Oryzias latipes: one gene and its partner. The protein of the gene in region 2 purifies or fractionates together with the protein of the main gene of each other region. This does not show direct contact. Links are inferred from orthologs where the notes say so. Each region holds a gene or a part of one and is shown on either strand. Other genes may lie near its edges.

Region 1 (3,828 bases), on a different chromosome or scaffold from region 2:
CCAGCTTTTTGTAGTCACGGGTGTACATGGACTTGCGTTTCTCGATGCTGCCGCTGTTATTGGGTTCACACTCCACATCGAAGGCAATTCTCCGCAACTCAAAGATTATGTCTCTTTGAGCCTGAAGAACAATCAGAAAGAAGAAGAATCAAAAATACTGGCCATAAATTCACATAGCTTTTGGAATTTGCATATTTAGAATAAAAAAAAAAAACACATCTACCAAGTTTTATTTGTATAACAAAGCACTAGTTTTTACTGACCTGGTCCTGGGGATCCATCTTGGTCATCATCCGGTCTTCCAGCAAGTTGAAAGTGAGCACCTGCAGCACATATAGCTGGTGTGCCATCTCATCATTGATGGGTGTGGGATTACGGATCACATTCTGCACAAAATGGTAAACTAGTTTAGTAAGCATGAAAAAAGGTCAGAAGAAAAGGGAAGTCAAGGATTTTTGTGGAATATACAGATAGGGAAGCAAATGAAGCAAAATAGTAGACACAGGTGTGTAAGTAAGAATATTTAAGAGTGTCATTTTAAAGGTAAAACATGCTGTTCTTCGAGTTTAAACAACGGCTAATAAAAATGAACTTACAGTAAGAATGATGGAGCGCAGCTGCTTTTGGGCCAGAATGTGGGCCATCTCCTGTAGAAAGAGACGAAAAAGAAGAAGAAAGAGACAAAAAATAAAGAAATTTAATAAAAGGTGGGGGGTAACAAGAAAAACAATGATGTAAGATCATAAATATGTTGAGGTAAAAAATTGAGATTTGGGGATTCTCTACGCTAAACTTTAGACAAGCAAGGCAAACGAAAAGGCCTGCGGCACACTATCAAGTGTGCATGTAAAGGCTAGAAAAACAAAAGACCGTTCTTTTCGGACCATAAGGTGCAATATCAATGGCCTATTTCCACACATAAAGTAAAACAAAACTGTGGTATAATGTGGTTTACTACACTACCCAGAATTCCTAAGGACTGCAAAAGGCAGCAGGGTATTGGTCAGAGGAGTCTATGTCTGTAAATAACTTCAATATTCTAGGAAACTGTTGTCATCCATTTGTGCCTGTTTTATCTGCAATATCTAGGTATTTGCAACATATACTTCAACTTTATTGAACTACTTCACAATAACTTGACATTAATTGGTTGGAACACATAAAATACAAACAATATACTTATGTTTTCAGTTCATTATGATAAAGCAAGGCCCCTTATTATGGTAGCCATAAGACTTAGCCATTCCATCCAAGCGTGCAGTATCGTAGCCAACCACAGTCGTACCTGAAGGATTTTTGAGTGGCGTGTATCAGATAAAACTAAAATTAATACATTAGATGTATGGGATTATATGGCGATCTGTCAATTTTTGAGAAGTGTGAAATAGTTTAAACGCGCATTATGGTCCGAAAAAACATGGTATGTTAGAAAATCGTCTAAAAAAAAAAAATTTAAATACAGGAATTAAATAAACAAACTCTCGACTTCTACAATGCAAACTACAGAGTGTGCTAGTCAAGGGTGCACTTACTGTCAGAGGACAGTCTAGGATGTCCACAATGTGCTCATCATACTACCATGTCGTGTGCAGTGAAGAGACAAGGTCAGAGACAAAGAGGGTAAGTTGAGTGAATGTAGTGGTCCAAAAAAAGTTTGAAATGATGTCAGGAAAAAACGGATTCAAGATCTGATTGTTTTGGTGCTTGGGACAAAGAGTGGATGGCATTTTCAGCAAAACAGTGGGGCAAAAAGTATTTGGCAGTTGCCAAATTGACCCACATCATAATGAACATGACGGCTTTCCACTTGTACACCAACTTTGATACCTCTTCTCTGAGATTTTTTTCTTACATTTACCAGTGCCAGATGGCCCGAAGAACCTATATTTAGATGAGGAGGAGGAACACAAATGGTAATGGAGAAAATTTGTTTGTAGTCCTCCCAAGTGCCAAAGGATTTTCCATAGTCACTTTGTACCAAACCTACCGGTAAGTTCTTTGATTGTATGGTTGTACAGCAGAGGTGCTTGACCTGGGACTGATATAAAGATGTAAGTGATGAAAACGAGAAGAGAAAAAAAAAACAGAGTAAAAAAAGCCAAACGCAGACACCATCATACTTTAAATAAGTAAGCAGGTGAGCAAGAAGCTTGGTGAGAATAGAATATGGAAAAAAAGCATCATTCAGTGACAATTTCCCTCAATTTGGGGTTCCATGTAAGATCTCACTTTGTGGAATCTTGGGAAATGTGAAGAAACAGTCCAGCACTACATGGGGGGAACTGGTCAATGGCCTAGAGAGGGCTTTGACCTCAGACAAAAAGGTTGCTAATAGTAATGTACAACAATGTCATGGTTACAGTCCTGCAGGGCTCAAAGGTCCTCTAGTTTGAGAACAGCACATTCCCAAGCCTTTTTAAAGTTTGCCAGAGACCACCAGGATGATTCCTAGGACAATTGGTAGGATATCAAGGATCCAAAATGGAACTCTGTTAAAAATCTGACTTTTACTTTTTTTTGAGGGAAAGAATGCTGAGTTGGATCCCAAGAACACCACTTTGAAGCATGGGGGTGGAAGCATCATGCGATTGGGTTATGTTTCTGCAAAGGGGACAGGATGATTATGGAAGAGATGAATGGGGCCATGTATGGTGAGATTTTGGACAAAATCCTCTTTCCATCAGTGAGAACCATAGGAAAAAAACATGGTTGGATCTTCCAGCGTGACAATGATCCCAAACACTGCCTGGGCAACAAAAGAGTGGTAGTGTAAAAAAACATTTCAAGGTTGTCTTGTCTGGCATTGCCATTTATATTAAGTATTAAAGTACCGTATACTTTTGTTAATGACCAAATACTTATTTCCTGAACCCTTGAACTAATAAATGAATTAAGAATCATTTATGGGATTTCCATGTTTCTTTTTTTAATCCATTCCGTCTCTCACAAATAAAACGTATCTATGATCAACTTTACAGATCTCACCTAATTTTAAGAGGATGACTTTTAAGTTTGGGGACTGCCAAATACTTTCTTTGCTCTGTTGTACTTAGTAGTCAGAATATTAACTTTATGAATGGTCGAGTTGCACAAAAAATGATTATTACCACCAATTGTTACAAATGAGTACATCGTTGAGCGTTGTGGCTCTGACGTAAGCGATAACGTGGTCAGCAACAGGCTTGTTGTAAATGACAGGCAACCATCCCAATTATCACCTTTCCCATAAAAACAAAAATCTTATTACTTGCATAGATTGAGTCATTTACAGACCAAATATCCATCCATCCATCCATCTATCCATCTATCCATCTATCTATAAAATTTCAACATAACAGAGAAGGACACCGCTGATTGCCATATGAACTGATAGTACAGGGTAGATATGCTAAACATGAACACTTTAACCTCACCTGTCTCTTCTCCTCTGGGGCTTTGAGGAACAGTGCATTGATCACAGCAACCGTATAAGTCTGAATGTCCTGGTCAGTCCTGCAATCCACAACCCCAACCCCCCCAAAAGAAACATATTAAAGACAAGATTTATAAAACAGCTCAGAATAGTTAAGAGAAGACAAAGCAACATTATTAAAACCAGGAAATATAAAATACATTAAAAAAACAATTTTTTTAAAGTAAGGACAAGTAATGGTTACTCCATCTACTTACCCCTGGAGATGAGGAATGAGCTGTCCAATGGTGATTTCTTGCGCCACCTTGTGGTAAAGATCCTGACTGTTGAGCACCATGGACTCTAGGATGGCCAGGGAGCGCTGCAACACTGCCGTGTCCATGGCCGACTTGTTCACAAAGCTGGCAATCTGCACA
Region 2 (3,828 bases):
ACAAAGGCATCAGTAATCATGTCTCCATGTCTGGGTTCATGAGATCATTCAATGACTCTCCCAGTATGATGAGGTTCACCATCTACTGCAAGACCTGCGTCCTAATGATGGACGCTTCCAGCGGTACTTCCGTCCCTCTGTGACCCACTTCTACAATGTGATGTCCGGTACCAGTCCAAGGAGGAAAAAAAATTAAAATAAGAATAAAATAAGAGAAACTTTTTATTATTGTCTTGATGCAAAAAAAAAAAAGACCAAAAGTTTGGACACACCTTCTCATTCAGAGAGTTTTCTTTATTTATATATATCCAGGACCGCCACGCCTGATGCTCAAAACCCTCTGCAAGACCTCTGATCGCATCTGTACGTTGACTTGACACTGAAACTGGAACTGGACACCCCCGCCGAATTGCACTTTCGAATGTTTGGTAATCATATTAGCACTGATGCTAGTTTTCTTAAGAAAACCAATTATTTATCAGATGTAAGTTTTACATCATATACTACTTTACGGGCAGTTACCCTCAGTTTATCTAAAAGCATGAACGAAATGGTTAATCAAAATGTACAAACTTCCACACATAAATGGAATCTCTTTCTTTTTGTTTGCTGTAATCAGTAAGAAAACAGATGCTAAATCACAAGTAGATTCAAAGTAATAAAACGGACTCCCGCAGATGAAACTGTGATTAGTCAGCCAGCAAAATGGGATTCAGTCACAGCCTGTTTTTTATTTTTTATTTTCTGAAATCCCAATTTGAAGGCTGATGAATACACCTATTTATGCAAACCCAGATGAGTTTTGGGGTGATATAATTTGCCAGAAAGGTGCAAAGGATCGACACAAAAATATACCGGCTTAGCAAAGTCCCAACCGGGTCTCCAAATTGCGTGAGAAATTGTGCGGTGTATTTTCAACAAAGGATGATGAGCTTCTTGATAACCTATTTATCTACATGTTTCTAACTGAAATGATCAGGAGAAAATAAGCCTCTCATCACCATGAAGCAATAAAACAGAGATGATGTAGATTATTTAGATTTAAAGCTCTGCTTTGACTATAATAATTCCTATTTTGTTTTTTTATTTTATAACTAGACAAGTTTGGAAAATGTATATTATTATTGACCCTGCTTAACATTTCTTTTACTTCAAACACATTAAAATGACTTTTATTGATGCTTAAGGTTAAATGCTGCGTGCTTTGCAGTGGTTTTGTGGAAAATCTGAGCAGATACGGCTTGTTAGTGTGTCGTGTCTGCTTACCTTGAGTAGTTTTGCATGTAGCAGCAAGGTGTAAGCAGCCTCTGTGTAGTTGTCACACTCTCTGTGTAAGTCGCACAGCTTGTACAGGTATCTGACAGGAAGCAATGCTTTTAGATTCATATGGAAGAATGCTTTTCACACTTAACCAACACCTTTCTTTCTGCTTCAATAAAACGACAAAGGCCTCCTTATTGTTTCACTTCAACAAAACTTGACAGACAGCAGGGGAAGGAAAAAAAAAACTCACACTGTTGTAATTTGAAAGAGGAGGCATATTTTTAAAAAAATGGAGCTCCAGGGAATTACAAGAATAAAAGAGGATTAATGTTCTCCATGTAATATACCTTGGTGTTTTATTAAATGCCTCAAGGGGATGGATTTTAGTTGGAGGGAAATTCTGGAATGGGTCTTACCTGATGTACATTTCTTCTCTGTCTATCTCCTTGTAAAAGTTCTACAGCAAAGAAGAAGAAAAAAACATTTAAACCTCTCCAGAACACCATCCTGTAACACTCAGATCCCACTTTAAATGCATGAACTGCAGGTGTTTTTGTTATAAAATTCACCTAAAAGGTGAACACATGACTTTCTGGCAACATTTGATAGAACACAGCTTTGGGTAAATGTTAAGATACAGGCACTGATAGAGCACGGCTCAAACAAATGCTAACTACAAAGCCACAGGTCCGCGGCCTTCTAGAAACCTTTAATCATGTGGGATAAACCTGGCATTTTGGCACCACCAGATAAAATGTCTCGTCCCAAAAAGGCATTGACTAAGATTAACCGCTCTGTGATAACATCTTAACACATTCTGTCACGTGCAGGTAGTTTTTTCTTTTCTTTTTTTTTTTTTTGTCTGGGAGCAGATCGGATTATGAGAACTTATATTTGTGCGTTACAGGTGTGGTGGAATTGGCAGCAGCTGACTTACGAGCACATTGACCGTACAGCTCATGCGGTTTTCCTTGTTCTCGTCATGCATGATGGTCCTGTAGTCCAGCAGCCGCTCCAGCAGACGCACTACCAGATTGACAAAGAGCTCGCCCATTCTTGCCAAGTACTTGTGCTTCCGACAGTGCTCCAGCAAACTGGTGTTTGTTGCAAAACATAGAAGAGGTAGAAAGAATGTATTGAGAGACCTAACACAAAAAACAAAAACCTGACAAAGACTTAAGGTTGTGTCATACATTTTGCACATTTTCCATGTATGAAATTTTGGTCTTTCCTGATACACGAGATATACGTAATTCATAAGTCTGTCTTGAGTTCATCAATGAGTGCAGATAGATGTCCGTCCGTTCATTACATGAAATCGGTTTTGACCTGTTCAAAATCCTTGATCGGTTGGAAATAACGCAGTTTACGCATATTTAACATACAGTACAGACCAGTAGTTTGAATGAAAAGGTTTGTCCAAACTTTTGGTCTGTACTGCAGTTTATATGAAATTATTACATAATCCCTACACAATTGTGTGTGATTTTTGCGAGAAGCATACGCACATTTGTGGCTTTCCACGATCGTTGTATAACTGATGTATAAATTTTATATTACATATACGGCACACAAATCACGTTAAAATTATGTAATTGACGCACAAATCACTAAAGAATTGCAAATAAACAGTGCAACAATCACACACAGTTCATGTTCTACATGGATTTATGTGTTCTTTGATCGGTTTATTTATCTTCTATGGTTTTGAATTTGTTCATTCTTGACGAATCCTAGAAAATTTCACGTAAAGACCACAACTTTTCACGCTTTTTCCCTGTATATTCATGTATGACCTATTTTCATCCGTGCAAAACGTACTTAGTGGCTGTGTGACACGGCCTTTTGGAAAATGTTAGGTTTTTGTTTTTGTTGTAACTTATTTACTGTGATGGGGGAAAAAAAGATCCCGTAAGATGTCACCTGTGGTTATTTTGAGGACTAATACGTTGCAATTAGCATGATCTAATCAGGGCTTACATTTTCTGGAAGAGGAGTTTGTACTGTTCGTCTCCGTGGCCTCCTTCCACCTCGTGATCGAGTTTGGTGATGATCTCGTTCTCAAACTGCAATTAGACAGAGCAGGCGTAAATAATCAGCGCAGCTAATTTTTCAATTCATTAGCCCCGTCCCTCTTCTCACCCTTCATTTAGACTTAGGCTAAGCTAAGGTTTCAACTTTAATCGATCGTCTCTTGCAGAACATCTGGCTGGGAGCCTCAACATTTATTTTTTCAAATTTAATTATTACGAATGTTCTTATTTGCCTGTTTACATTTTTTGGAGAAGCTCTAAACAAAGCAATATGACAAGACCCAGCATTACTCCAGCTGCATTGATGTTGTCAGCACTGACAGTGATTTATAATCCCTTTCTTATTATTTTTTATTTAGCTGAGGTGAAAAAGAGGATTTTATTCTGTTCAAAAAAAAAAAAAAAAAAAAACTTTTACATTTTTGTTTTTCCCAAAAAGATACAAAGACTCTGACTTAAGCATAGTGAAAAACAAAATTAATAAAAAAAATAAAATAAGGAAAATGTGTCAATAATATCAAAGAAGGAAATT

What was found.
Region 1: the proteins of dock1 (region 2) and engulfment and cell motility protein 1 purify together in Homo sapiens (affinity purification with western blotting; 12 studies listed by BioGRID and IntAct, counting the BioPlex papers as one, with this or other methods). This does not show direct contact. The link is inferred for Oryzias latipes from reciprocal best matches to the Homo sapiens genes DOCK1 and ELMO1.

What each region holds. Positions count from the first base shown.
Region 1 is NC_019869.2:8,654,504-8,658,331, forward strand, and holds part of engulfment and cell motility protein 1, read right to left. Parts: intron 3,822-3,828; coding exon 3,670-3,821; intron 3,493-3,669; coding exon 3,414-3,492; intron 1,575-3,413; coding exon 1,533-1,574; intron 648-1,532; coding exon 597-647; intron 387-596; coding exon 264-386; intron 122-263; coding exon 1-121. UniProt on the Homo sapiens protein: Involved in cytoskeletal rearrangements required for phagocytosis of apoptotic cells and cell motility. Acts in association with DOCK1 and CRK. Was initially proposed to be required in complex with DOCK1 to activate Rac Rho small GTPases.
Region 2 is NC_019877.2:12,101,202-12,105,029, reverse strand, and holds part of dock1 (dedicator of cytokinesis protein 1), read right to left. Parts: intron 3,330-3,828; coding exon 3,244-3,329; intron 2,358-3,243; coding exon 2,201-2,357; intron 1,721-2,200; coding exon 1,680-1,720; intron 1,358-1,679; coding exon 1,267-1,357; intron 1-1,266. UniProt on the Homo sapiens protein: Involved in cytoskeletal rearrangements required for phagocytosis of apoptotic cells and cell motility. Along with DOCK1, mediates CRK/CRKL regulation of epithelial and endothelial cell spreading and migration on type IV collagen.